Regions from separate parts of the Mus musculus genome. Here regions 1, 2, 3, 4, 5 and 6 are each reported to be linked to region 7. Evidence: microRNA targets listed by miRTarBase, many of them from high-throughput screens and not tested one by one. Region 7 holds a microRNA gene; each other region holds the end of a gene's coding sequence.

The links. Region 7 holds the annotated microRNA mmu-miR-743a-3p (GAAAGACACCAAGCUGAGUAGA, at 2,375-2,396, opposite strand). A microRNA usually pairs through its seed, bases 2 to 8, with sites in the 3' UTR of a target mRNA and lowers its output. Matches are read on the target gene's strand: a 7mer-m8 pairs with bases 2 to 8, a 7mer-A1 pairs with bases 2 to 7 and ends in A, and an 8mer does both.
Region 1: the mRNA of Anapc11 is a reported target of mmu-miR-743a-3p. Seed matches in the 3' UTR shown: 8mer at 3,148-3,155.
Region 2: the mRNA of Lrig1 is a reported target of mmu-miR-743a-3p. Seed matches in the 3' UTR shown: 8mer at 2,517-2,524.
Region 3: miRTarBase lists Slc5a3 as a target of mmu-miR-743a-3p. Seed matches in the 3' UTR shown: 7mer-m8 at 2,419-2,425.
Region 4: the mRNA of Top2a is a reported target of mmu-miR-743a-3p. Seed matches in the 3' UTR shown: 8mer at 3,092-3,099 and 7mer-m8 at 2,857-2,863.
Region 5: the mRNA of Dglucy is a reported target of mmu-miR-743a-3p. Seed matches in the 3' UTR shown: 8mer at 2,482-2,489.
Region 6: miRTarBase lists Cetn3 as a target of mmu-miR-743a-3p. Seed matches in the 3' UTR shown: 8mer at 2,847-2,854.

The regions. Positions count from the first base shown.
Region 1 is chr11:120,604,587-120,608,653 of GRCm38, forward strand. It overlaps Anapc11 (anaphase promoting complex subunit 11), which reads left to right. Exons shown (of 3, transcript NM_001038230.2): 3 at 695-3,612. The coding sequence ends at 840. It overlaps Npb (neuropeptide B), which reads left to right and starts at 3,891. Exons shown (of 2, transcript NM_153288.3): 1 at 3,891-4,067. The coding sequence starts at 3,923.
Region 2 is chr6:94,602,038-94,606,104 of GRCm38, forward strand. Lrig1 (leucine-rich repeats and immunoglobulin-like domains 1) reads right to left here. Exons shown (of 19, transcript NM_008377.2): 18 at 4,066-4,067; 19 at 2,492-3,966. The coding sequence ends at 3,722. Slc25a26 (solute carrier family 25 (mitochondrial carrier, phosphate carrier), member 26) reads left to right here. Exons shown (of 10, transcript NM_026255.5): 10 at 1,515-2,618. The coding sequence ends at 1,632. Among named protein-coding and RNA genes, the nearest start is that of Mir7041, 2.3 kb to the right of the region's middle.
Region 3 is chr16:92,078,630-92,082,696 of GRCm38, reverse strand. It overlaps Slc5a3 (solute carrier family 5 (inositol transporters), member 3), which reads right to left. Exons shown (of 2, transcript NM_017391.3): 2 at 1-4,067. The coding sequence ends at 3,484. The region is part of intron 1 of Mrps6 (mitochondrial ribosomal protein S6); the gene reads right to left. Among named protein-coding and RNA genes, the nearest start is that of Mrps6, 22 kb to the right of the region's middle.
Region 4 is chr11:98,990,168-98,994,234 of GRCm38, forward strand. Top2a (topoisomerase (DNA) II alpha) reads right to left here. Exons shown (of 36, transcript NM_011623.2): 34 at 4,040-4,067; 35 at 3,597-3,768; 36 at 2,780-3,246. The coding sequence ends at 3,637. Among named protein-coding and RNA genes, the nearest start is that of Gjd3, 9.2 kb to the left of the region's middle.
Region 5 is chr12:100,870,674-100,874,733 of GRCm38, reverse strand. It overlaps Dglucy (D-glutamate cyclase), which reads right to left. Exons shown (of 13, transcript NM_145448.5): 13 at 2,124-3,430. The coding sequence ends at 3,281. Among named protein-coding and RNA genes, the nearest start is that of Gm36572, 21 kb to the left of the region's middle.
Region 6 is chr13:81,795,906-81,799,961 of GRCm38, reverse strand. It overlaps Cetn3 (centrin 3), which reads right to left. Exons shown (of 5, transcript NM_007684.4): 5 at 2,807-3,308. The coding sequence ends at 3,265. Among named protein-coding and RNA genes, the nearest start is that of Cetn3, 15 kb to the right of the region's middle.
Region 7 is chrX:66,774,386-66,778,452 of GRCm38, forward strand. It overlaps Mir743 (microRNA 743), which reads right to left and starts at 2,433; the gene lies at 2,372-2,433. Mir743b (microRNA 743b) reads right to left here and starts at 2,947; the gene lies at 2,871-2,947. It also overlaps the pseudogene Gm14681.

The DNA of each region.
Region 1 (4,067 bases), not on the chromosome of region 7:
GCTTCTTTTCTCCCCCCACTTTCCATTTCTCCCTCTTGCTCCGGCCCCCACTTGCTCCAGGTCCCACTTGCTCTGGCCCCCCCATGTTCACTCCGGCCCATAGGTTCTTTATTTTGTTTCTCATTATGGATGGTTGTGAGCCACCATGTGGTTGCTGGGATTTTAACTCAAGACTTCCGAAAGAGCAGTCAGTGCTCTTTGGAGTTGAGGTTTCAGATGAAGAAGGTAACAGGTGCTGATAAGTCCTCTATTAGTAACTGTCCCATAAACACCAGTGTCCCCAAGATCCATAGTGCAGTAGATCTCTGATGTCCAGGGAAGAGACTTTCCAGGTTTCAGGATGCCTGTAATGAAGACAAAGAGTTCTCCACTCAGGCTGTGAGTCGTTGGTATTACGGGTCAGTTTTTCACAGAAAGGTGTGAGAAAGGGACCAGAACCTAGTGGGCCAGGCCTCTCCCCTCTGAGGACACTTCACTTGCTATAGAGGGAGTCACTGCAGATCTGTAATGCCGTGGGCCATGTCTGGGGATGATTTGGGTCACAGCCCTACTTTTTGTCTCCTCTGAGAATGAGAGGCTCTCTGCCAGTGATTAGAGCTGTTGACTAATGTCCCAGAGGTGCCTGCCTGGCTTGTCACATGCTCTGTGTGTTTTATCTGGTTCTTTACCTAAGGCCAGTCTCTCCTTCTTGCAGGTAAGGTGCCTGGTGATGACTGCCCCCTCGTGTGGGGACAGTGCTCCCACTGCTTCCACATGCACTGCATCCTCAAGTGGCTGAATGCGCAGCAGGTGCAGCAGCACTGCCCCATGTGTCGCCAGGAGTGGAAGTTCAAAGAGTGAAGCCCGTGCCGTGCCACTTCCCTCTCCTGTGCTGTGCCAGGCTCAGCCCCTTCCCTCCCTCCCCTCCCCCAGATACAGCACCCCAAGTCCCCTCCACACAGCACAGTGGTGCCCAGAGATCTCGGTCTGTGCCGGGGACAAGGATGCTTTCTGTTTGGCTGGGACAAGGTTGAAAGGAGCTTTGCTGACTGTTTTGTTTTCCCATCACATTGACACTTTATTCAATAAGTAAAACTCATTACAGTTCCGAGCCGTGCTGGAGGCCTCTGCTTGCCTGGTTTCTTGACATACTGATGCTGCTAGCAGCATGTTTTGCTATGAAAACTCCAATAAACAGCTTGATGAAATAATGGCCAAAACCTTCATCGTAATCTGAGTCACAGCTCAGACAGGAGGAGGAGGAGAGATTCAGGCAGAGCCAAGCTGGGCAAAGACCTTAGGGTGTGTTTGTGTCAAGGAGACAGGCAGGGTGCACGTAGCCCATCAGCTGCCCTAGTCTACTGGGAGTCCCGAGATCTCGTCCCATCCCCAGCCCTAGCTGAGCAAAGCTGGCAGCTGCTCTTCCAGAGCTATTTGGTTGGAGGAAGAAATAGCTAAGCAGGCAGTGGTCATTCATGTCCAGATAATCTTCGGGGACAACTGCAGCAAGCTTTTCAGTCTCTTGTGTCTTCCTTGGATGAAGGCAGATATAGTGTAGGAGGATGTGGGTCCTCTGGTGTCTTAGGGAAGGAAGGCCATTTGGAAACTATTATTATTCCCTAGAGCTAGGGATTACCAGTTATCAGGAAAACAGTAGCCCAGCCCTGATGTGTTAAGCTCCTGGGTAGAAACCAATTTAGGCTGGCATCTAGGAGTTCTGGCCAACTTACCACCTTGTCCTCACTCTCTGACTCTTCCCAGTAACACCTCTGCACTCCCTGTGTGCTCCACAGCCGGGGAAGTAGACTACTAGGGGCTGGTTCCAAGCAATCTGGATCATCTACATGTTTGTTGGCTCTGAGACTTGTTGCCCACTGTGTGTGGTATCACTGAAGTCCTCCTATTTGAAGCAGACTTGTGCTTCTGGGAGACTAGAATTTCATACCACTTGGCTATCTCTAGCATGCTAATCCTGGAACTGGCACAGCTATCAGGAGTGAAGAGGGCCATTTCAGGGGTAAGGACCCCCAAGAGCTGCAGAGGGGAGCCAGGATTGGTGGATTTGGAAGTCCTTGAGCTGACAGGTATGGTGTACCCTGGCTTGTTCAGCTTGTGCCTTCCATCTCCAGTCTGCTCATTTTCTTGGAGGGTCCTCCATGCCTCTTCTAGGAACATTCTCTGGGACTTCATTCCGGGCCATCCTCTCTGAAACAACTTCCTGTGCAGTTGGCAGTGCTCCTGAGTGCTTCTGTTCCCGGGCTAACCTCAGAATCCTTCATGGCCTTCACTTACCACTGAGGTTCTTCCTGGTGTGTTGTCTCACGGTGTCAGCAGCCTTTCCTCAGGGTCAACTCCACCCATGTAGCATGTCCGCTCTCTAGAGATGAGAAAGCCATAACTAACCTTGGGCTGCTTGCAAATGGGACCCCTGGCTCCTCCCCTTCCTACTCCATTGTTCTTCCACCAGCTTTCTCCAGAAAAGTCAGGACAGCAATGTACCGAGCACTGCAGCTTGTGCTCAGCCTAAGCCCCTTTTCCATGTGGGAGCAGGAGGCCTTGGAGGAGGAAGCCTACACCACTGACCTCAGGAAGCTCTCTCTGCTCTAATCCACCTGTGCCTGCCCTGGGTGGCCAGACACAGTCCTATTCATGTTCTGGCTCCTGCACATACCACAAGTCTCTTACATGTTACCCTCCTGTGTCCAGTATTCGAGTCACTGTTTGCTAAGTACAGGTGGGGACGGTTCCTAGGCCATACCCACTGGTGTAGCGTGGGCAGGGCAGTTACTTGCCCCTAGGGTCCAGAGTTGCTTGCCCAGGCTTTTCTGAAGGTTGGAGCCTGAGCGCAACACTTCTCCTCAGAAAGGGCAAGCCCAGCATCAGAGTCTTCCACCGTGAGCACCACACCAAAACAACTCCAACCTTGTTGCATTGGCAAGATGAGTTATTTTCTCCAAGTTCGAGGCCAATATAGGTTATAGAGTGAGACCCTGTTGGTGAGCCTAGACAGGACCAAAGAATAAGCAAGGCCCCTGTGGTGGCTGATGTTATGTTAACTTGATGTGAACTAGAGTCCTCTGAGAGGCGTGATCCTCAGTTGGGAAAATGCCTCCGTAAGATCAGGCTGAGGGCAGGCCTGTAGGACATTTTCTTTCTTCCTCTTTATAATGTCTTTACATTTTATGTGTGTGGATGTTTTGCCTGCAAGCGTTTCTGTGCATACATGCATTCTCCCAGTGCCTATAGAGGCCAGAAGAAGGCATCTGACCCCTGGAACTAGAGTTCCAGACAGATGTGAACTGCCCTGTGAGCCACCTGCGCATGGTACTGGGAATCCAACCTGTGTCCTCTGGAACAGCAGTTAGTGCTTTTAACTGTTGAGCCATCTCTCCAGCTTGGAAAAATCAATTAGCGAATGATGAGGGAGGGCCCAGCAGATTTTGAGTGGTGCTATCCCTGGGCTGGTGATCCTGGTTCGGTAAAAAAGCAGGCTGAGGAAGCCCTGAGAGTAAGCAGCACCCCTCCATGGCCCCTGCATCAGCTTCCACCTCGGTCCCATTGGAGTTCCTGCCTTGGCTTTCTACAGCGGACTGTGACTCAGGATATGTAAACCAAATAAACCCTTTCCTCCCCAAGTCACTTTTGATCATGGTGTTTCATCACAGTAATAGTGCCCTAAGACAGTTCCACATTCCACCCTTGGAAGTTGATACATCTGGTCAGTAAAAGGACAGTTCCACTTGAGGGAGGAACGGGCCCTCTGCCCCATCTCGCAGGGTGTGAGATCCCACTGATTTACCACTTGCAGTCTGTGCGCCACTCCTTTCTGTCGCCCGCTCCTCCTCATCCCCCTCCCTGCCTCTGTCCCCCGCCCCCATTGTAAATATAAAGCCTGGTTCACAGACTTCAGTCGCTACATTCTGCCTGCCCCTGTCACAGCTCCATGGCCCGGTGTAGGACGCTGGTGGCCGCTGCCCTGGCGCTGCTCCTGCCGCCAGCCCTCGCGTGGTACAAGCCCGCGGCGGGACCCCACCACTACTCGGTGGGCCGCGCCTCGGGGCTACTGTCGAGTTTCCACAGGTTCCCGT
Region 2 (4,067 bases), not on the chromosome of region 7:
GTAGTGGCAAAGCTGAGGGAGACTGACCTCCAAGCCCAGCTCAGTGTCTCCAGGCCTGCCTTCTATATGGTAGGTGCCTTGTTTGCCACTTCCTGGGCCAGGCTAGCTGACCCAAGAGCCTCCGGGACTTCCTGTCACTACAGGAGCACTGGGGTTACTGCAGAGCTGCCACGCGCAGCCTCACGAGGTTTCTAGACATTTGAACTCAGGTCTTGCTCGCTTTACCCACTAAGCTATTCTCTCTAGCTCCCTAAGTAGCTTAGCAAGAGGGGTCCCACTATGTAAAGTCCTTGCTTTCTTCTGTGCTGCCTGCTAGAGGTGGGAGGGGCAGCGGATCTCTTCCACTGGCTGTGTAGGGCATGGGCTGTGTATCCAGCAGAGATTCCTGTCAGCTTTCTTCATTAGCTTCCACTTAGCTTAGCACAAAGGCTTTCCCACATCTTTAAAAGGCATGAGCATTGTTATAATAAAACACTTGCCCTATACCCAAAGCCTCTCCACGAGTGTGCACACATAGACATCAAACTGGTTCTTTCCTTGTCCAGGGATCGAACTTGGGTTATCCATCAGTCTTGACAGCAAGTGCCTTTTCCCACCGAGGCAGCCCAAGTTCTGGCTTCTAAGTTTGTCTTTCTGCATATAGAAGCACTTTTCTGGGTAACAGGGTTTCAGTAGAAATAAGATCAGGCTTTCTGTCTGTCACTCTCTCACTCCCACTGCCTCTGTAGAAAGCAGTAATTTACAGCCTAGGACTTGCCCTGTGTTCATCAGCCCAGCGACCATGGGGATGGTAACCTTTTAGGGTTGGGGCTTCTGTCTTGTTCTCTCCAGCTGTGCGCCACTCTGTTTTCACAATGCTGTCTCATCTGGCCAGGTAAGGTCACTAGTAGATTACTTCAGTAATGTCACGATGGATATTTGAAATTTCCTGGGCCTCTGGAGAATGGCTTCCTGACACCACTGTGGTGTTCTGACTGGATTGGGGATGGGACACCTGAGAATCTCGAACTGACACTGTGAGGCGCTCCACCTTTACCACAGTCATGTGACTCTGGCGTCCTTATTTCGATTGAACAAGAAAAAGGGAGTCCACAAAGATTCATCATCCCCTTCTTGTAGAATCGCATTTGTGGGACTCCAATGACAAATATAACCGAGCCCAGGGTAGGAGAGCAGAACTGTTTCAGAATTTGCTTTGTCTCCCTGACTGAGACCTAGAGGCCCCTCAGATGTCCCAGGGCCACACACCCTTACCAGCCTCACCTCAGATGTATCCTTGACTCCCTTCTTCGAGCACACTGCTGGGAGAGTGGTTACTGTGTTAATGTGAGTGTTCCCAGCTAGTGTGGCCGTGCTAGGCTAAGCTCCAGTTTCTCATGCATATTGGGGAATATTACTTAGTAGCCTTCTAAAAGGAAGGAAAGACACTGTAAATTTCTGTGGGATTTCACAATGGATGTGATGGAATGAGCGAACTGCGGGCAGTCAGGAACATGACCATTTCCTGTCCCTAGGTTATTCGCAGGTGTCCTCCCGAGGATGGCAGCAATCAGCATGGGCGGCTTCATCTTTCTGGGCGCCTATGACCAGGCGCGAAGCTTGCTGTTAGAGGTGGGCAGGAAGAGCCCATGAAGCAGACACTACATGTCCTTGCAGTCCTTCCTGTGCCTGGGGCTCCAGTGTGGCTCCCTGAAGATGGCTGCAGAGAGCAGCTTAATGAAGGCCAAAGCACAGGCTGCCCCAGGAAACTTTTCTTGGTGAAACTGGGGCCACCGTCTCAGTCCTCTCAATAAATACTCCCGGTAAGGCCAAGGCCAGGCCCTTCAGAATGCTTTTTATTAGCATCCTGTGCTTTCTGCTGTCTGTTGGAGTCACCAGGAAAGCAAACTGGCTACAACTGCAGTGAATGACCAGACTGGGAAAAGGAAGGGGGCAAGAACCGTGCGTGTGGCTGTTTCTCCCCTGGGCGGGTGCCTATTGTGTAAGATTATAGCTTTGTTTAAAAAGCATGAGCTACAGGTGCATAGCATGCATTCTTTCTGGTGAGGATGCTGTTTTTAATTACCTTGTATTTCTCCTATAAAAACACATGATTATATTACTTTACAGCAAAGTGCCCCAAAGTCCCTGGAGTGTGTGACAGACAGCAGACAGCTGCAGCGCCAGTGAGTGGGTGGGCCCAAGTGACTTCAGTTAGGAACATGTTGAGGGAAGCAAAGCCCATGCCCACCACTGTCCGTCCCTGGAGGCCAGCTGGAGCAGCTCCTTTGTCCTCATGGTATATGCCAGCAGGAGGTGGGAGGGTCAGCATACTTGGGGAGCATAAGGCTTGACTAACCAACTCCATGTGGAAAAAAAAAAGCTATCTGAGGAATGCAGTGCCACTGTCTTTCTGGGGCAACAGTGTGTAGTCTATGCTGCTTCGTCTAAGTATTCTCCTTTTGGAGAAACATTAATAGCAGAATAAAAGAGCAGTGACCGCCGCACACACTTAGTATTTATAAATGAACCTTTATTAAAGACACTTTATGCCATTTGTTAGACACTTCAATATTTTACATGTTTTCAATGTACACTGTACCAAAATTTCTATAAATAAATAACTCTGTACATAAAAAGTAATACTTCCTCTTTCACATTGCCTCTCAGAAGCAGCAAATTCACATATTTTGTGGAAGTAACATTAACCATCAACTATGGAGACTAGCCTTCTCAGCGTGCTTGCTCTGGCACAGTGATGGCCTATGACACTACACGGTGACACAGGCCATCACTGTGCCAACACTTCCCCTCAACTCCTGGGGTTTTAAGGACTGAGTTTGTGTTTCCATGTAGTCTTTACTGCATTATACATTGGCACTCACAAGATGGCTAGCAACAGGGCCCCAAAGTGCAAATACACCCAGGTCTAGGACTCAAGTCTTGTACAGTCCAAGCCCAGTCTCACCGGTAAGGAACAGCGTGGACAGGCCTGCTCAGCAGAACTTAGCGGGCCCTGGAGGCAGAGCTAACCCTCACTATTGGAAAATCCACAGGTACCAACACTGGCAGCCTCCGCCTCACTAAGCTTCAAAGAACCACTGAAGGAGACAAGACATTTGCTTTTACCAAGTGAGTTACAAAGAAAGACGAAAGGCAGTGCTTAATTGTTCTGAGCCATTGCATTTGGTGGATTAACAGCTCTCAATCTCGTCCTCAACTACAGACCCGTGCACCCTGCTCTACAGTGAGGCTGCCAACACCACGCCTGCATAGGTCTGGCCAGTGCACTCGAATCTGACCACTAAGTGCCACACAGCCAAGATGCCCTCCTTTCCAACCGCCAGCAACAGCTGATGTGTTTACCTGAATTCCAGCTGTGCATTAAGGCACCAGAACGATTCCTGACCCTCTCCAAAATTAGACAGCAACCTAATGTGAAAATATCACCAAAAGCGGGACCCATGCGCTAAGGATTAAAATAGTCTCTGTAAAAGATATATAATATATATGAAATCTCTGAAAACTCTTATGTACAGTGGTATCAAATACTTTTTCCTGCCTTTTGTACACAAATAGTCTCTCACGTTTCTGAGCTCCAGATGCCACTCCTCTAGCCGACTGACTGACATTCCACACGGAAGTCGGACTGTCCGGAGTGACGTCTGGACACAAGCTTTCCACGGCCTCTCCTACCTCTTTCCTGTAGCGACTGCTTTAAAAGAGCTGAGGTAGATGAAGCCTAGCTTCTCGGTGCCAATAGCAGTGGTCCCCTCCGTTTCCCAGTGATCTGCCCTTTCAGTGGCACAGATTCAGGGCTGGAGTCACAGGCCTTGGGGAGGTGGCCATTGGAAACAAGCAAGTGCTGGGCTTCAGTAGATATGGCGTCTTCCATGAGCTCTGGGCTGCCTGAAGCTAACGTAGGAGAAGGCTTTAGGTCTATGCAGTCTGCTTCATGTAACTTTGCTAAAGTCCAAGAGGAATCTCCTGTTTAAAAAAAAAAAAAAAAAAAGAGGCAGCTCAGCCTATGCACCGTAACCAAAGGGCTCCCAGCAGCCACCGAGGTTCCTCTAACACAATACACACCG
Region 3 (4,067 bases), not on the chromosome of region 7:
TCCACTCACACCTCCAAAAGGAGCTGTGCAAGGGAGTGAGGCATGAGGGAGGAAGGCATCTTAGTATATCAGCCAAATTAGACCTAATTCTTTACTGAGTAATGACAAAGCATACTTATGTGGTGGAAAATAAGGCTCATCTGTAGATTACACTAAATGGTATTTGGAGATGAGAAGACCATGCACCCGGAATAAAAAAGACTCCTGATGTAGGAATTGAAGGATTCATAGCGACCCTGAAGAAGGCTTTTAACCTCACTCAGAGAACTCATAACTCCACTGACCTGTTCTTAAATGGGAAGTTTCACAAAGCATCTCTGACCACTTATGGTGACACCCGTAAGAGTCACGGATAGACTACCCAGGTCAGCCTCTCTGTGCAAGAGTGGATCCTTCGAGCTGGTGAAAGGAAGCCCTGGGGATGAGATCGCTCAATCTGAGTCAAAGGCAGCTGCTACTGCCTGATGCTTCTCTATAAACAAAAGCAATCACTTCCTAGAACAACAGCAGCCCAGTTGTTTACTCTTAGGATGGCAGGACACAATCTTCTGAGAGAAAGAGAAACCCCACAGAAGAGCCATCAATCATTGTCCCAGCCACTGGCGCAAAGCAAAATTAAAAATAAAATAAAATTAAATTAAATTAAAAAGCCCTTTCTGGATCCAAGCAAGAACTGCCTGGGAAGACAATCATCTAGAAGCTTGGCTATCACTCAGAGGATAACTACTTCTCACCTACCTCTGTAGACCAACAGCCTCACCTACCTCACGTTTACTTTTAATCACTATTTTAGTCAATGTAATCTTGGTCAATTCCAAAGCTTAGCTTGGACAAACACAAAAACACATGTGTAAATGTCTACAGATCCATGCCATCTTTTAGGACTCATATGCATGTGAAGGATGAACATTTTGCTAGTCTAAAATCAGGTATCATTCCAAGAACAACCACTGTAATGACCTATAAAGGCTGGTCCTTGAAATGAGGCTGCCATCACACACGTATTCAAGCACAGTATCTATTACTGGAAAGCAGTAAGGAAGACAAGCTTTAGAAACTTCAGACTAAATAAAGTGATGTTCGCAGTGGTAAGAATACACATCTAATGCATATGCTAAGCTATTCCTTATTTATTAGCTCTCTACACTTGACCTACAGCTATTTACACACAGATAGACACATTACGGTATACATTATGTATCTTACTATAAGTCAACAAAAAGGGGGTAAGAGGACTCTAGCATTCCAAATTATTAGGACTCAGCACTAAATAAAAGGGAGAAATTCACATAATACCTCCTATTCACTATGCTATACATACAAGGATGAGGAAGCCCACTTGGCCAATGTGTCAATGTCTGCTAACTTGCATAGGAATGTGTTCAAAGGAAATGTTAATTCCTACAACTTAATCCAAATTTGGACAACCCAATATTCTGTAACTTTCTCAAAGACTGAAAGATTATCTCAAAAAGAATTGTTTAAGAGAAGACAGCCACAAAGCACAGCTATCCATCCAAACACATGGGCAAACTCTGAGTCCACATTTGGAGAACTAACTCAACTTTCCACTCAAGAAAAGGATGGCCCCTATCTACTTGGCTCCAGGTTATAAATCTCAAAATAGAAACTAAGAGAAAAATTGTACAAGGCACTCTAAGTTCTTCAGAAATGCATGCTATTCATACAGAGATGACTTTTTCAATTTCCAGACTCAGTCCCTCAGAAACCCTCCAGAAGATAGGAAGACTGTGTGTGACAATCTGTGATCCCTAACAGCACTGGACTCATGACGTCCATCGCCTGCAAACAAGTCGATGCATTACAAAAAAAAAAAAAAAAAAAAAAAAAAAACTAAGGAAAGGTATTGTTTTGTTTTGGTTATCAGGACTGAGTTTGATTGAAAAGCTATAAAATGATCTATAAAAGTAGTAATTCTCCTTAAGTACAAGGCTTAATAAAAGTCATGCAATTTAAAAAGTTATCGGCCTAAAGAAAGTAGATACAGAATTCGCTTTCTTCATCTCTAATGGAGAAGAGGCAGTGATGAAGACATAGGACTACACACACCATCCCTAGGATTTTTCTCGAATTCCTCCTGCACTATCTTCAATAAGGAGAAACAGCCTACAAAAAAAGATCTGCTGCCCATGAATGTGGCAGTTGGATACCAAGCTAAGCTAAGGTCAATATCAAGAGTCCTCCACAAGTGTGATATCCCCCACAAGCACACTGCTAAACCCTAAAGTCCCTGTTCGTGGCAACCGAGGAACATGCTGGCCATCCTACAGAAAATCTACTCTCATCAACAGTAAGACTGCCGAGTGTTCTATGACTGACAGCCACTTCGTAATGAAACATACTCATGTGCTAACTGACTATAACAGCATAGATGTATATACACAGCAAGCCTTCAAAAAAGACAGAAATAAGGAAGAGAACTTATAAGGAATGGAATTAGACTGTTCCTCTAAAACTTAACAACGTTTCACAAACTAAGCAAGTGCCAACCCCGGCACACAAGTAGTGTTGACGCTCCTCCACGATACTGAACATCTTACAATAGGACCCATTTGGGAAGGCATTTGGCAAATAAGGAATGTTAGTAAAATGACAAAGAAGCAGCTAGAAAGCAGGTAAAAAAAAAAATGATTCATCATCTACTTAGCATTAAATATCAGTCATTGCCTGGTAGCTGATAATTCTCAAACTATATTTTAAAATATTCTTATCTGATCAATAAATGTGGGGATCATCAGCAGTATTTACTTCCCCCCTAATTAAAAGCAAAATTATAGACAGACTTGGTAGTCCGTGGAGTATGATTCAGTTTAAGTAGGAAAAAAGAGAGGGAAGAGATGGAAACCAAGTCTGCTCCCCACGGCTGCTGACATTTCCATACAAGCTGTAGTACAAAAGGACCTGCAGGAAAACGCTCTTCCTTTCTCTTGGCAAGCAGAATCCGTAGACTCGTGCTAATGACCAGCCACACACACAAAGTTGTCCTCAAGTCATTAGTACACAACACATTAGACTTTCAGGACCTAACTAATCATACAGTCTCTACAAATTCATTTTTTAACTGTAGCAGGGATTAGAGACAAAAGCCTTTATAAATGAGCAAATTTCCTTCAGCAGAGGGTCTACCAAGCCTTGGCAATGTAGACAAGACACTTTACTCACGATACCTTAGCACATGTTCTGTCCTAAGTGATACATGAGAATAATTGGTCTCTCCTTACTTTGGTACAGAAAACTCTCAAACCACATTTTTTGCACAATTCACTCTGCTCTGTTTCATGTAAGTTGAAGATTTACGTTTTCCCCATCTCTGGGAAAACAGTCTTACAAATAGATGATTTTTCTGCTAAGGAGAATTTGGCTAAAACCTTCAGCGTAAACAATGCCTGGGAGGTGCGACAGTTACATTTTTGTTTTCAAAGACCAGTATTTTCTCTTAAGTGTCTCACCGTATCCTTAAGTTCATAAGGAGAAATAAACAAACATGAAAATTCCAAGTGAACACACAGCAAAAAGTCCAATGTTTAGGATCACTTTAACTTGTGGAGTCTCTTCTAACATTTGTAAACACACAGCCTCCTCATCCATCAAGTCTCTGAGGCTCCTCTTGCTAAGGCTTTTACTCTTAAAGCCACAAAACCAGTCTATGAACTTCCAATACCGGCTTCTATTTTCCGTTTCCTTCTCTCTTTCTCTCTCACCCATGAGAGCTGCTTGCCCATTGGAATAAGCATCTACTGGTGTTTCTGCCTCTGAATGACCCATGGAAGCCACTGGGTTGCCCTCTTCTCGGCATGTCACCAGCAGATTAACGTCTTCAGGTTGCAGTCCCTTAATGCTGTCTTCAGACTTCCCGTTGGGAATAGTATGGCTGATGACTTCGCTATTCTCGCTGCACTGCAGGATGCTCTTCTCTTGCATTTTGTATGGTTCGTCTTTCTGAGAACAGCTCTCCTTTGTCACCAGGGTCTTCTTTGACCAAAAGGTAGTGGTACGAATCTGATCCTTTGTGGGAGGTGGTGTGAGAAGACTAACAATCACAGTAA
Region 4 (4,067 bases), not on the chromosome of region 7:
ATGCTTAGTTTTACAAATCATTATTGTGGGGTAGGGATACACGCCCCATGGCGAACGTGGAGGTCGGAGGACATTTCTGTGGAGTCAGTTCTTTCCTCCATCTCTCCAGCCCCCGAGACTTAAAGTCTTAACTGCTGAGCCACCTCTAGCTCTGTTGTTTATCTGTTTACTTTTGAGACAGGCTAGATTCAGCCTCTTGGTACTTCTTAAGAAGTGCTGGGGGGCTGTTGAGATGCTGGGGCTGGTGAAATGGCTCAGTGGTTAAGAGCACTGACTGCTCTTTCAGAGGTCATGAGTTCAAATCCCAGCAACCACATAGTGGCTCACAACCATCTGTACAGCTACAGTATACTCATATACATTAAATGAAATTTTAAAAAATCTTAAAAAAAAAAATTGGGAGTTGGTGAGATGGCTCAGAGGCTAAGAGCACTGACTGCTCTTCAGAAGGCCCTAAGTTCAAATCCCAGCAGCCACATGGTGGCTCACAACCACCTGTAATGAAATGAGATCTGATGCCCCTTCTGGTGCATCTGAAGACAGCTACAGTGTACTTATAATAATAAATAAATCTTTTTTTGTTGTTGTTGTTTGCTTTTTTGAGACAGGGTTTCTCTGTATAGCTCTGGCTGTCCTGGAACTCACTCTGTAGACCAGGCTGGCCTTGAACTCAGAAATCCGCCTGCCTCTGCCTCCCGAGTGCTGGGATCAAAGGCGTGCGCCACCATGCCTGGCAATAAATAAATAAATAAATAAATCTTTAAAAAAAAAGTGCTGGGACCACACACCACCACACCCAGCCCTTGTTTAACCAGAATGAATTGTGAGAAGGTTTAGATCTGGGTAGGTCTGAACAGCTCATTATCACTAGTTTTGTTTTGATGTGTATGTTCTATGTGTCTGTGTTTCCATGGGTACATACACCTGTGGAGAGGCCGGAAGTCAATGCTGGGTCGTTTTATCATTCTCCGGCCTGGCTTTTACTCTCTACTGCAGTAACTCTCTAACCTGGAGCCAGTGGCAGCTAGACTGGCTGGCCAGTGAGTCCCCTGGATAGCCAGGTCTCTCTCTCCCGACAGTGCTGAGGCCCCAGGGAGGGCTGGAATCCTAACTCAGCATGCACTCTGCCCACTGAGACATTTCCTCAGTCCCTTAATACAGGCTTTGAGTCTCTTCTCTCAATAACTGCTAACAAATTCTCTAAAAATTAGAGTCTAAATGTCTATAACTATCAAGTAGCTTTTCTTTTTAAAAATGTCCTTGAATGTTAGCAACATGAGGAAGAATGGTCAAGTTACTAACTTCTCGCATTCAGCAAGGTCTAACATGTCAAGAGGTACAGCAGTGCTGTGTGGTACTGATAGATTCATGTGCTGTTTTTAAGATTTTTTAAAAAGATTTATGTATGTGAGTACACTGTAGCTGTACAGATGGTTGTGAGCCTTCATGTGGTTGTTGGGAATTGAATTTTTAAGGACCTCTACTCGCTCTGGCCCAAAGATTTTTTTTTTTAAAGATTTATTATTTTTATTATATGTAAGTACACTGTAGCTATATCTTCAGACACTCCAGAAGAGGGAGTCATATCTCATTATGGATGGTTGTGAGCCACCATGTGGTAGCTGGGATTTGAACTCAGGACCTTCAGAAGAGCAGTCAGTGCCAATAACCTCTGAGTCTAGTGCTCTTAACCGCTGAGTCATCCTGCCAGCCCTGTTTTTAAGATTTTTTTATGTGTAGGTGTTTTGTCTGAATGTAAGTCTGTGACCCATGTGTACATTGCCTGAGGAGGCCAGGGGACAGATTCCCTGGAACTGGAGTTAGATGGTGGTGAGCCTTCACGTGGGTACAGGGAATTGAATCTGCTGCTTCTTAACCACTGAGCATAGCCTCAGCGCTTCCCCCAATAAGTAAAAAATTTATTTATCTACTTATGTGTGTGTTGGAGGGGAGGGAAAGAGGACATTAGCTTGTGTCATAGCCAAAGGACAGCTCGTGGGCATCAGCTCTGCCCTTTCACCACGAGGGTCCTGGAGATCCAACTCAGGGGTCAGGCTTTGCTGACAGCCATCTTTACCCAGGAAGCCACCTCAGCCCGCTTGAAACAGTTTCTAATCTTTGACATTTAACTATTTAGTCTTGGGTGGGTGGTAGCTTTGGTACACTACCTAGACTATACACCAGGCCCAGACTTGATCCCCAGCACAAAAAACAAAACTGTGTATTTGGACTGAATTTTGTGTAATATTAAGAAAGGAATTGGATTCACCATTTTATTTAGAGGGATCAAGCAGGCTGCTCCAATATAACTTTACTGAGTCCAACAAGTAGTTGTCTAAGCTATCAAAATGGAAGTAGACATCTTTTTAAAGATACATGCTTTTTTGTTTTTGTTTTTTGAGAAAGAGTCTCATGTATCCCAAGGTGGCCTTGCACATGACTTTAATTCCAACACTTGGGACCCAAAGGCTGGTGGGCCTCTGAGTTTTAGGCTAACCTGGTCGGTTTATAGTACTAGTTCCACAGGCCTCAGGCATGCTCAGAAAGCTCTCCACCAATGGAGCTACATCCCTAATCTGATACCTCCCCGAGGACATGGACACCTCAGCAGCCATATGTGAGATTGTAAGTAACACTGGACCCATCTAGGTCACAGTGCCTCTCTTTTGGATCCCTCAGCTGCCAAAGGCTGACCGTCTTAGCAGACAGACCATGGCTATAACAAGTCCTGACTACAGGAGATGATGTCAGATGGGTTAAAATAAGAGGAATGGATGGCTTGCATTGTTTAGAAGATTTATTAAAGTACAAAATAGTTGGAATTAGCGGAACAGACAGACATATTAAATATTTACAAAAGACATTGATAACAGCACTTAAATAAGAGACAACAGCACAGAAGGTCTTGGCAGTCACAAGTTGGAATTATGGAGATCTGCAATGGATCCCACTTCCTGGTTGATCCTGGAGATGTAACCGTGAGCAGTCCTGCCTCCTCCCAGGGATCTCGTGTTGGGAAGGCATCCCGAGTAGAGTCAGTACTCTACGTAACTGACCTAACTTTCCTCACCTTGCTGCTTGTGCTGAGTCATAAAGACACAGTCAAGGTGACTTTCTCCAGCCTCCGATGTTCAAAAGGTACGAGCAACTTCTCATGGCTTAAACAAAATGCATCACGTCAGAGGTTGAGCACTGTATCTGTACTAGAACTAACCAGTTCTATATGACCGAATTCTACCTATAAAACTGAAAACAAGGACCATGTTACTTCCTATTTTGTGGGAAGAGGAAAGGAGGCAGCAGAAGTGCTTTTGAAAACATTTTCACTGTAGTTTAATAGATGATAGATAAATACTATTGTGCTAAAGTGAGCATACAATTCTGTGAAATCCAAAAAAATTGAGGCAGATTTTAGAGACCAAAGTAAACACACATAAAACAGACAAATCAGAGAAGACAATTGCCCATGAGATGGTCACCTCGACAGCATGTTACAGAGAGCAAAGCTGAAGGCCACACGGGCTCTACTCACTTGGATAGTCTTAGTAAAAAAAAAAAAAAATCAAATTCAGAGGAGGAAGAACTTTAAAACTAACCTGGCTCCGTAAAACCATCCCTAAAACAATCTCTTCTGCCTCAGAAGAGGTCGTCATCGTCATCGGACTCCTCCAGGTACTTAATTGGCTTCCTCGCCCGGTCAGATTTGGCTCGAGGAGCTATCGTGTCTTCCAAGTCCACAGGGAAGTCCTGTTCCTCTCCCTTTGCTTTCTAAACAGAGAAGAGCCAAGTAACTTGCATATTGTTAATGCACTAGGGTAGTTCTATACCTCCAGAGTTCTCCCCACCTTCTTCTACTAAGTAGTAAGAAAAAGGTCCAAAGCAAGAGTCGCACAGACTGACAGATCAAACTTTACACATGGTGCAAAGGAATGATGAACTCAGGTTTAAATTTACTTCCTTAAAATTATGCAAACTAAGAGCACAGCCTAAGTGGATGCTTCAACATTCCAGAGCAGAGGAGTCAAACAGTGATAAATACCTTGCTCGTGGCACCTTTAGAAATTGCT
Region 5 (4,060 bases), not on the chromosome of region 7:
TTGCTCAAAAAAGGAAGCAGAGAACCATTAGGGGAGGCATTCAGTGCCAATTTCTGCTCTCTATACTTGCGCGTCCGTACCCACACTTAAACATGCACACACACACACACACACACACACACACACACACACACACACACACACACAGAGTTTGGAAAGTGATGACAGCAATTCAAAATCCTCCTGCGGATCAATTCTGTTACTGTAAAGAATGGTTGAGACGCTCCACTCTCTCGTCCCTGAAGAGCTAATTCAGCTGCCAAGTTCAGGAAGATGGGACCTCTCCTAGGAAGATGTGCCCATCTTAACCCTTGCTAAAAAGATGACCACAAAATTATCCATTTACTGAAATACCATACTTTATCCTTCCTATAATTCCTGTCTCATAGCACCGTCTGTAAGAGCAGCCCTGAGGTTCAACTGGCTCCGCCCACCCTTCTGTGTCCTGTCTCAGAAAGAGACAACTTTCCCGTTCTCCTTTTTTTCCCTCTCTCTTTCTTGCAGATGCTGACCAGAACCTAAGCACTTCTCTCCTGGTACTTTTGGCTTCGTCCTTACTCATTTTCCCCTTGTCTTGTCCATTTTCCCCTCTGGGCGCCTGCTGAGATTTACAGATGTCCTGCCATGGAGTTTCCTTTTAAGCTCCTATCATCCTCAGGCTCCCATTTGAGTCCATTCTTAAATTACTTTATCAATAAGACTAAGAACCCTAAGAAGGAACTCCAATTTCCCAGGCATCATCTGGCCATCATAAAGTGACACCCCAGGATTTTCCAGTAGCAGTTCCATAATCATGGGATTCCCCCTGTCCATCTACAAAGGTAGGAGAAGTGTAAAAAGAATGCCACATGCAATTATGGCCCAGGGTGGAAGTGTTTGATAGCCTCATTACTCATACTCTATTAACCTGACCCTGGTCACGTGGGCCCCAGCTACAAGAGAGGCTGGGAAATGTAGTTTTTCTGCGTAACAAGACAAGGAAAGGTGAAATTGGTGAATATCTGGCCAATCTGACTGACAGTTCAAATCACCTCTACTTAGCCCTTAACCTGCCATCCAATCCCAACAAAATCTGCTTCTACAAATGTGACACCTGGATCAGAACCTACATAATGTCGTCTACCTTGCCCTAAGGACCACATTCCTCTGCTTCTATACTTCCGGGAAGCACATCACATCATGAATGTAGAGAACATACAATTTGCTAATAAGCCAAGCATTCTCCGTCCTGCATAGAGAGCAATGAACTTCAAGAAGAAGCCAGCAGACGCCATGTATAATGGTCAGGAAGTAGCAGATACAATGGGCTGGGCCAACTTGGGGGTGGCAGACAGTGGGAAGCAAGAGGTGACCTCAGAGGGATACCTTTCCTAGCTGAGCAACAGAATGTCAGTTGTGCCCAGGACATCCAGGGATAAGGAGCTGGCACCCTTGTACAGAGCATGCTACCTCAGTAAGCCAGGCCACCAGCTTGCCTATGAGTACCGACTGTATGTCATATGTACTATATCCTAGGATCTCTCTCCACAGCATCCTGAAAAGCCCACAGATTCCATTTGCCCAGCAATGGCTAGAACCAAGCTAGCTCTCACCCTGGGTAAACCACAGTTCCCCTGCAGGCCATCTCTTGTTCTTGTCACTGACTTCTGGAGGTGGTAGCCACCACAGACATGAACACAGACATTTCTCCTGAGAACAGACAAGGCTAGAACAAGGTTTGAGTGGGAATCACAATGTGAAGTGGAAAGTTTTAAAACCGGGTCCTGGAAGGCAGAGCACCAGCAGCCCCTGGGATGGATGCCCAGGAAGGGGTCCCCTCTACTCCTTTGTACCTTAGCCTCAGCGTAAGCTGAGAACCTGCCTTCAGAACCTGCCTTCTCTGAACTTAACGGGGTCTTAGCCTTTTTCTTAAATGGCTCAGCCATCTCCCCATACATTTCTTCCCACTGCAAGCATAACTTGTAACACTGTTACTCCTCAGCTTGTTCAATGCTGAAGTAGAATCCTGCTATTACTATGCCAAAAGCCAAATCTATGAATATCTCCTTTGAAACATGAATCATAAGATTGTTGGCAGCTTTTCCACGATGTCAATAGTATTGTAGTCATCTATTTTTTTTTTTAATTGTCAGGATATCCTCTTTATCAGAGTTCCTGGTGTGGAATTTGTACTGAACAAAAATGATAACTCAAAGAGACCTGGGCCGTGAGGCTTCCAAGCCAAGGTGTATTTGCTGAGTTGTGAGGTCTTGGGTGGAGGACTGGCCCCATTTTTAGTGTCTTCCACAGAACAAGCATGGACCCTGAAAGTGTGAACCCTGCAGGTGTGAATCCTGGCCAGAATAGCAAATAGCAGACACTGGAGGTTCATACTAAAGATTTTCTCTTTACACTTATATTTTATTGGAGTGTAAAATCCATACCATGTGTTCCTTTTTCACAATGAAGGCCCCTTAAAGAACCATACCAGACACACATGTGTAAAGACATGAAACAACATTTAGTAGGCTCAGATCCCACATGAAATGTCACCATGATGTCAGGAATAAATGTGCAATGGGGCCTGGTCAGTGGCTCAGTTTCTGGTTTTGTTGAGAAATTTAGGGTTGGAGGATGTGAAAGATCAGGGCGAGCTCATCTGCCTGAGCTCTGGAGAGGTCTGACTCACCTTTGGGCAATACTGGTAAATATGGCTTCCTTCCCCCTCAAAACGGGGAAAGAGTCAGGCTAGGTGTAGGAGTGAGCTGATGGAAAGTGTGTGTAAGAAATGTCAGGGGTGAATGGGGGTGAGGGACAGTGGGATGTCATGGCTGGAAGAACCCCATCAAACAGCAAATTATGACTGTATGGGGGAAAAAAGCATTTCAAAGATATAACTGTTTTGCTGGTGGTGGTGAGTATGAACCCCAGTGTTTCAGCTAACACTCCACGTGTGGGCTCTCTACCCTTTCTCGATTAGCCCAGGTCACAGTGATGCCTTGGTTGCCCTAGAACTCGCTCTGTAGACCAGGCTGGCCTTAAACTCAAAAATCCAGCTGCCTTTGCCTCCTGAGTGCTGGGATTAAAGGTGTACACCACCACTGCCCTTAGGCTCTGCTCTACAATTAACTGTTCCAGAATTCTCTCTTAACTGAGAGGCAGAAAGATTCCCAGAACAGAGCATAGGGTGGCCAGAAGAAGCCAGGATGAAGGGCAGGTAGAGCAATGCCCCTGGAACTCCTTCCTACCTAGACAAAGGCTGGCATCAGGCAGGGACTGTGCACACAAACAGCACAGCTGGTCACATGTGCACTGTGGTGGCACCCACCAGCTTCCGGATCATCTCAGCATGAACGTCATGGAAAGGCAGCCCATCCACTTCCATGCCCACGATGCCTGAGACACCACTGCGGACTTGGTTCTCTACCAGGATGCCCAACATCTTTTCTTCCTGGGAGGAAATACAGAGATGAGGAGGAGACAGACGACATGTGGGGAGAGGGAGGACAGAATGCGTAAATATCTGTAGAAAAGAAGCTTTGAGCTAGAGATCTCTGTTTCTCTCTGTCTCTTTCTTTCTTTCTTTCTTCCTTCCTTCCCTTCCTTCCTTCCTTCCTTCCTTCCTTCCTTCCTTCTTTCCTTCCTTCCTTCCTTCCTCTCTCTCTCTCTCTCTCTCTCTCTCTCTTTCTTTCTTTCTTTCTTTCTTTCTCCCTCCTCCTTTTTAAAACAGAGCCTCTGTAGCCCTAGTGGTCCTGGAACTTAATATTTAGACCAGGCTGGCCTCACACTCTTAGAGATCCACCTGCCTCTGCCTTTCAAGAGCTAGGCTTAAAGGCATATGGCACCACACCCAGGAATGTGTCTCTTTTTAACAAGTAAAATTTGAGATAAGGCATGGACTCACTGGAAAGCTCCTTATGAAAATCAAAATCGGGCTGGAGAGATGGCTCAGTGGGTAAGAGCACCCGACTGCTCTTCTGAAGGTCAGGAGTTCAAATCCCAGCAACCACATGGTGGCTCACAACCATCTGTAACAAGATCTGACTCCCTCTTCTGGAGTGTCTGAAGACAGCTACAGTGT
Region 6 (4,056 bases), not on the chromosome of region 7:
TTTTCCCTTTTCTATAAGCAGAAATCCTTATACAAGTTAATTAACCATATATCAAAGCAAATAGGCAAAAGAAGGGCTGGAGATATCACATAGCAGCATTAAGGAGAGATGAGACCTCTGAAATCCTAGTTTGATTCTGGATCTGGAATCTGTAGGTCTCTATTGTCTAATTGTTAGTCTCAAGATTCCTTTACCTGACCTTAAATAACTACAGTTGTCTGTATTTATTCTTCTCATTCTTGTTGGCAATTTGTTTTTAATTTAGTAATATATTTGTGGCATCTTCCACTAATTTATTTTTGAAAAAAATGTATAAATTATAAAATGGAAAGTAAATTATAAAAAGTTTGCTTTTTTTTTATCTGAATTATTCTTTTAAAAGTGCAGACCCTATTAGACTGTAGAAAGCAAGAGGCACATGCCACTTGAAAAATAAACAAAGCCTCTGGCTCTTAATAACTACCCAAGTAGCTAGATATACAAATCATAAATTTCAAGTTTACTTCAACCAGCTGTTGATAGCATGTCTAGAGGTTCCTCAGACTGTACCTTCTCCAAACGAATGAACATTAAACTTACTAAAGATGAGTACTCAAAGAAATTAAACTTCTTACCTCAAGTGCACCAGGAACCTGAGACATCCAAGGTCAGATGCAAATCACTTGAGCCCACGGGCCAGTGATGACTTGGCAGTCCTTTTGCTGCCATCAGAGTCCCAGCAGGCTTAGTATTTCCCTAGGTCTTCCACCAGTTCCCACTGTATAGACCCTCATTGATAGCTGAGTGGGAGAGCGCCTGCCTCGTGTGCACCAGGGGCTGGGTCTGACCCTTAGTGTTAAAAGAAAATAATGATAATAATTCCCCTCTAGACAATACCCTAGCTATTCTGGTGTGTATTTAAAAGGTCCTGAGAGGCCCTAAAGATCACAGACTTTCCAAGGCCAAATAATTACAGAATTACAGGCAGTTAGGCCCATGGACCAATAATTTAAACTACAGAATAACTCTAATTGTAACAGCTTATATTTTCATGTTTTTGTAGCTCACATTTTTACATTTATTTTTTTTCCCCAAATGATATCTTTTAACTTTCTAGTTTAATTTTTTTCTTTTAATTTTTGGCACAGTGGTGAAGCCAATTAGATTTGAATTCTTAAAATACAAATCTTTCCTCTTTTCCCCAACTAGTTTTGAGGGAGTTACTTTGTTTTTATTGCCACTGTTGAAAATTATCCTACTATCCCTTGGGATTTAGATTCATAACAATTATCGCCCAGCAAGACAGCTAGAGAAGAAATCTCCCATAAATTATCGTCTGGGCCAGTTACTGAGATTTAATTGAACACATAATCTTCAAAGAAAATGAAAAAGGAAATATAGATCTTGCTTAAAATATGGTTGCATCTACCTGTTTGGCAGAGACTTTAAATGCATGAACTTTGAGAATAATCAAAATGCGCATTTTACAATAAAAGATTACTCCTCAGTAGGCCAACCCCAAACCTTTACCCTGCTGTTAAATCTGAGGTGCTTTCAATGGTAGAAAACATGATTTGGAAATATTTTTATCACTCAGCATTTAGTTGATGTACACTGAGTGGTTTTTATTCTAAAGAGCCATCTATCAGTAGGCTCTCACCGCTAGGTCACGGGAGTTCACGTTCTACAGTGCGCACGTTTCCTTGCAGTCAGGTTTGCATGGACCTTTCGGAAGACCCTGGGGATAGGCCGTCTATGGTAATGCCACACAGAGAAAATGGTCGCTTTTTTTAGAGAACACAGTGGTATGTTGGTCAAATGTTACAAGCATATTAAAATCAGAAATGTCGAACTCCAGGGATTCTATTAAGTATCCCTGATTTCTTTTATTATGGAATAAAGAAAGTCTATTCTAAAATATTGTTAATTAAGTATAAAATGAAGGTAACCTGCTGATCTTCAGTTCTATAAAAGGTCATATTCCTAAAAATCACTGCATACTGAGAAATGTTTGTGTATTCTCAGCATAAAATTTATAATTTCTAAAGTTCTAATAAAAAAGCAACTTAGATTTTTATATATAGTTACCTAATAACTAATTACACTTAATATTTTGAGTGTTCCTCATTGGGGCAACTCTCACAAATACATCAGATAAAACAAAGCCCTGACTTTACTTTTTGAAACTACTTTAACAGACTCAAAGTATTTCAACTACCTCTAATTGTATTGTTTGTCTTGCTTTTGCTTGCTTGTTTGTTTTTATAATTTAAAGAACAGTTCCTTAAATTAACACTCACTCTATAGCTCACTTTCCCTTAGGAGAGCTCCTATCATCAGAACTGAATACTGAAGATGTGATAGACTACCATTTCTGTGACCTATCTCCCATAATCTTTTTTTTGCCCTAAACTGCAGTTAGGCAGAATTGCCCACTAACACCTGGAGATTCTATCACCACTGTTTCTTGATACATCATGGATAAACCTAACCCTTAAGTGTTTTCTATGGCTTCCATTTTCTCTAGCGCATGAAAATCCAAAGTTTGAATCTTTCACTTTGCCAAGCAGTTAAATGATTACAACTGTATTCAAAAAGTATAATGAAGCAATGTTCACCCTCAATTTGCCATTACAAAACACAGATTTCGACAATACATTACACAGCAAAGATATACACGGCGATATGCAGAGTGCGTAGTCCCTCCAAACTGCAGGACTGTACGCTTAGGAAGGAACTAGACCTACACTGAACTGTCCTGCACTGAAATGCAAACTGTCAAGGTTGATGACCCTGAGTGATGAACAAATGTTCCAGACTATTGTCATTTGGTTTTTCTGATTTATTTTCAAATACAAGTGAAAGTGTAAAGACAAAAGATTTTTAAAAATCTTCTATTGTTAATAGATATCAGAAATCTGAAATAAAAAATTTACCAAACATTAACATACTAATAAAATAAGTATTTTATTAATGAATGTCAAAAAAAAAACATGTGCATGAAAATAAAAGCAATTAGCTAGTCCTAAATTTAGAAGACTCCAAATAACATACACCACATGATTTGATGTTTTAAAACTTTATATAAACATGTATTATAAATGTGAAGTCAACTACTACATTGATGACATAAACTTAACAATGCTGAAATATACATACAAAGGATGCTTGGTTTTGTTCCTTTCAGAAAAAGAACTACGTTTGTTTTGTTTCGTTTTCTTAAACTGGACTCCAGGCACACAAAGAGAAGATAGATGGTAAAAGTAACATTTTGGTGTTGATTCTTTATATGTCACCAGTCATAATAGCAATGAATTCCTCTTGATTTACTGTGGCAAGAAAGACAGGGTCATCGTCAGAGACCTTCTTAACCCAAGATATACAATCATCATTTTACAATGTATTAAACTTTATAATATAAAAAATATCTTACAAGTCAAAACATAACTTATTCAATGGAACTTCTAAAATAAAAGTATATACAAATGTGATCAGCATTATAAATAAATAAATATTCTATTATATTAAGTGGGGACAACAGATGATATGCATTACCATAAAGTCAGCCACAGACATAATATTTGTCACAGTTTAAAAAGTGACAGTTTTAATATAAGTAGTTAAGCACTCTTTATAACCAGTACTTTACTAATATATTTAGTAAGGCTTCCCTTCATCAGTTAAGTTTGACTATACCATGCATGTGAACTAACAAAATTCTAAAGAATAAAACGTTTTAAAACTAGAAAAAAAATAACAAATTGTTAATTTTGGAAGCTTATCTTTTAAAAAAAAAGCCAGTTACCTCATGTAAACCTCAAAAGCATGTAAACCTTCAATAGAAAAAGTAATTTAAGAAAATACAGATTATTATACAGCAACTATAAAATTTTAAAAACTAAAAATACAGGAAATAAATCATTCATGCTAACAACTTGACACTTTTACTAAAACTATATATAAACTTTAGTAAGGAACTTGAATGTATACGGAATGTTTAAGAAAACATAATAATAAACAGAACTATAATAAAGAGGAATGACTAATCCTAAATGTAACGTTTAAGAAGTACACACA
Region 7 (4,067 bases):
CAACCCTGTTCACTGATACTCTACTTGTAACATTCAGAAAATTGGAACTACCTTGGAGTCCATAACAGATTAATGGATAATAAAACTTGTACATTTACACAATGGAATATTATTCACACGTAAATGAAGAACTTCATAGGTAAATGAATGGAACTAAAAATATGCTAATTGACTAACCTAGATCTCCAAAGCAAATGTGTTATGTTTTCTTTTATGTGTGGATGCTAGTTTGTTTTTATAGCTAGATAGCTAATGCTCAAAAGGACACCATGAAAACCCTCAAACTTAAGCTATTGCCAAGTCTTTTGGTTATTCTACACAAACTGAATATGGAGAAATCAAGCATTTGTCTCTGTACAGCATTCACCTCTACTAACTAGTATTGATAACTGAAGATAATCTATGCTGCAAGTTATCAAAGAAAAAAGATGATCATTAATCCAATTACAGACCATATGACCAATAACAAAGATATGCCTGCAAGGCATGCTGGTGAAAAAGTAGTACAAATGTTGTGGCAGAACATAACCTCTTTATAATAGGACTTAAGGCCCACTCCATGAGACAGAATTCACATCCAATTCTATACAATCAGTCAAAAACATGAGACTAGAAAGGCCGTGAGCCTAGAGAAAACCAGTTTTTCTGTAAAGGACCATAACAATAAAATGACTCCTAATGATATTCTATAGTATGTATAGATCAGTGTTTTCCTCAGATATCATCAAATATGCTTCTTTTTCTTGGAACAATGTGTAGAGAGTAAGGGGTATGAAATAATCATTCCTAAGTGGGAGGTCTTTATCAAACACCTTCCCTTGGGGATCAAGGAGTTGTGCTGAAGATGAAGCTGAAAGACAATGAGAGCCAGAGGTAATGGATAACATCAAGGAAACAAGACCTTCTATATACAACAGGACTGATGCACATATGAACTCATCCAGACTGTGACAGAATACACAGGACCTGAACAAGTTCAAACCAAACATGTTCCCATGAGTGAGCATGGAAAATGGATATGAATTCCCATCATTAACTAATAAATTATTTCCAATTGACAGCTACTTACAAAGAAAAATTGTTTTCTTCAATTTCATCTCACTGGGTATAGTAACCACATTTAATTGTAGGCTCTATGCCAAGAATTATACAGCCAACACAATATGAACTCAATTATATTTTGTAGGTATTCTCTGTCTCTCCTCTCTCTCTCTCTCTCTCTCTCTCTCTCTCTCTCTCTCTCTCTCTCTCTTTATGTGTATAATGTGTTTCTTGGGCATTTTAAATTATTCTTTATTCACTCATTTATCTTGCTGATTTTTCTAAAGGAAGATAAAGAAATCTGGTAGTGAAGGTGGGGAGGATCTCAGAGAAGATGGGGGATGTGAAATTGTGGTCAGGATATATCTTAAACATTTTCAGAAAAAAAGAAACAAAACAAATGTAGAAGTGCTGACTCTATCAACTCTATAACCTCTAATAATATTCATCACTTGTACAAGTTATGACATCAGGAAGGATGCCTGAACCCTGAACACACCTAGGGAATGCAAAACTCATTATACATCACCTTGCATATATAATTTGACATCTTCTTCCTGCATTCCAATAAGATGAATAACTCTGAGTACCAATAACTGATCATCACTCTCAGCTTAATACCCTTTCCTTCATTCTTGCCAGACCACGTGCCAAACTTAGGGCCTCAAGCATACAATCTAATTATTCTAAAGACTGTGCTTTAGGCTCTTAAAAGTATGTTTTTTAGCACATAAATAAATTGAATTTTCCTTCTGTATTTTATCGGACCTATGTGAATTTTTGAATAACAACAACAACAAAAAGCATGAAGGTGACAACAACACCATTAAAAACCCTGAAGGTGTCCTAGGGCCCAGAAAAGTCAAAGAACACCATAATCAGAAATGCTAGGATATTTGTACTTATACAAAAATCACTATGCTAAAAGTAATGAGACAGCTTGTTAGACTTATTCTACTCACACAGAAGAACTGGTTAACAGTTTAAGCAAATATGGCTCTGTATAGAATTTTAGCATGTAGGGCGGGCCTCAATCATGTCCTAATAGTATCCTATTTATCAATCTGCCTTAATGAGTATAAAACCTTAACATATATCATATTTATTCCTATCTTAGGGAATATTCCTTGTACATAACATACTATGTCCTACTATATGGTTGACTGCCAAACTTTGTGTTAATTCTCCAATCTATATGCGGCTATAAAGTTAACACTGGGAATCAAAATTGTACTTAGGTAACAGATTAGGACTGGTTACATTTTGTGTAACTACAGATAAAACACCCTGACCACATAATACCACCTGCAATGAAGAACACAATAAGCCCTACTCTACTCAGCTTGGTGTCTTTCATTCTTATAAACATGACAGGCACCAATCTGAATACAGCACTGCATACAAGAACTTTAATGAGAATGCTCTGCCCCAGATCCTTCATCTACATGTCACACAAATCATTCTGCCCCACTCAACATGAAAACTCACTTCTGTTTATATGTATATATTAGAAAACATTCCTACAGTAGGCTATGAGTTTCTAGTTCTTCACTGTATACTATGTCCTGGTCTCTATTTACAGTGTTGATTCTCAAATCTACATAGATAAAAGATGTATCATTTGTTGATTGTGGGTTTAGTTTCTTCTAAGTATTTTTTTCTTTAACCTACATGTTATAATTGTGTAAAAATTGAACATCTAAAATTATACTCTGGATAAATATGGATCCTGAGGGTTACATATGACTAATTACAATGAGGGATTCATGTCAAGTGTAACTGCACTGCACCACTCTGACCAATTAAGGCATAATAAATGAAGAATATCATGGGCCTTACTCTATTCAGCATGATGTCTTTCACAAATATTTCACATGATGGACACCAGTCTGAACACAGCACTGCACACAACATACTGCCCTCTCCCACTCCTATTTCAGTGTCCTGGACAAAAAGTTAAGTACTAGTTGCATGCTTTGCATCAGTATGACTGATGCTTCATCTTTTTTTCTCTACCATGTAGTAATAACCATCATATTTGAGGATCCTGTCTAAATTCACCTTGAGGATGTATGCTGTGAAGATAAATACAGTATATACTAGTTTTCATGAGCCTTCATCAATTCTTGTAGTCTAGTGTGATAGGTGAACACTAGATTTCTTTATTCACAGGTCCAGGAAATGACAAAATCCTTCACCTTTCATTTCTCCTTCTGAATGTTGTGATCCCAATTTTTTATCTCATTTTGCTGATATTAAATATCCATTAATAATAAACATATTACTTTTATAATTGCACTCTCTGACCATTTTGAGGCATGTGTACAACCTTAAGCACCTTTTAAGTCTAAAAAAGTGGGGCTTTAAATGAGAAATGATGAAAATGGTAGCAATCTCAAGGATGCCTTTGAAGACGAAGTATAAGGTCCAGGGTATACAAAGTAAGGAGCTTGTTGAACATTACTCACTCTGAGAGACCATGTGTACACGCACTTAAGTCTCACTGACATTAATGTGTATAGGGATTGACACTAAAAAGCTTTCAGGAGAAATAGTACTCAGCAGAGAAGAGCCCACCAACTGCTTTTCCATGGTCAGCACTGAAATAACATACATAAAACTTTCAAAATATGGACTAAGCAGGGCATGAATGAGAGAGAGAACAAAGGGGTTAGTTGATTAGAGTGGCTGAAGGGAAGAAACGAAAGGGGAGAATTATAAAATATTTTAATTTAAAAAGCACTTAAAAATTAAAATGAAACTAAACTTATTTTCCATAGTGCTATGTCCCTAATTTTAAATATTTTCACCTATGAGAAATAGGAATTAGATGAAAGGTTCCCCCTATATCTTCACCTAAACAATGTCCTGTGAAGGTAGCTACAATCGATCTTAGAATCAGAAAATACTCTTGCATGTGCATCTATGTTCTTACATTTACAATGACAGTACTTTATGAGTATCCTTATATTGAGAGAGATACCCCAAACTGTTTAAACTGTTTAAACCCTTTTCTTAAAGAGACT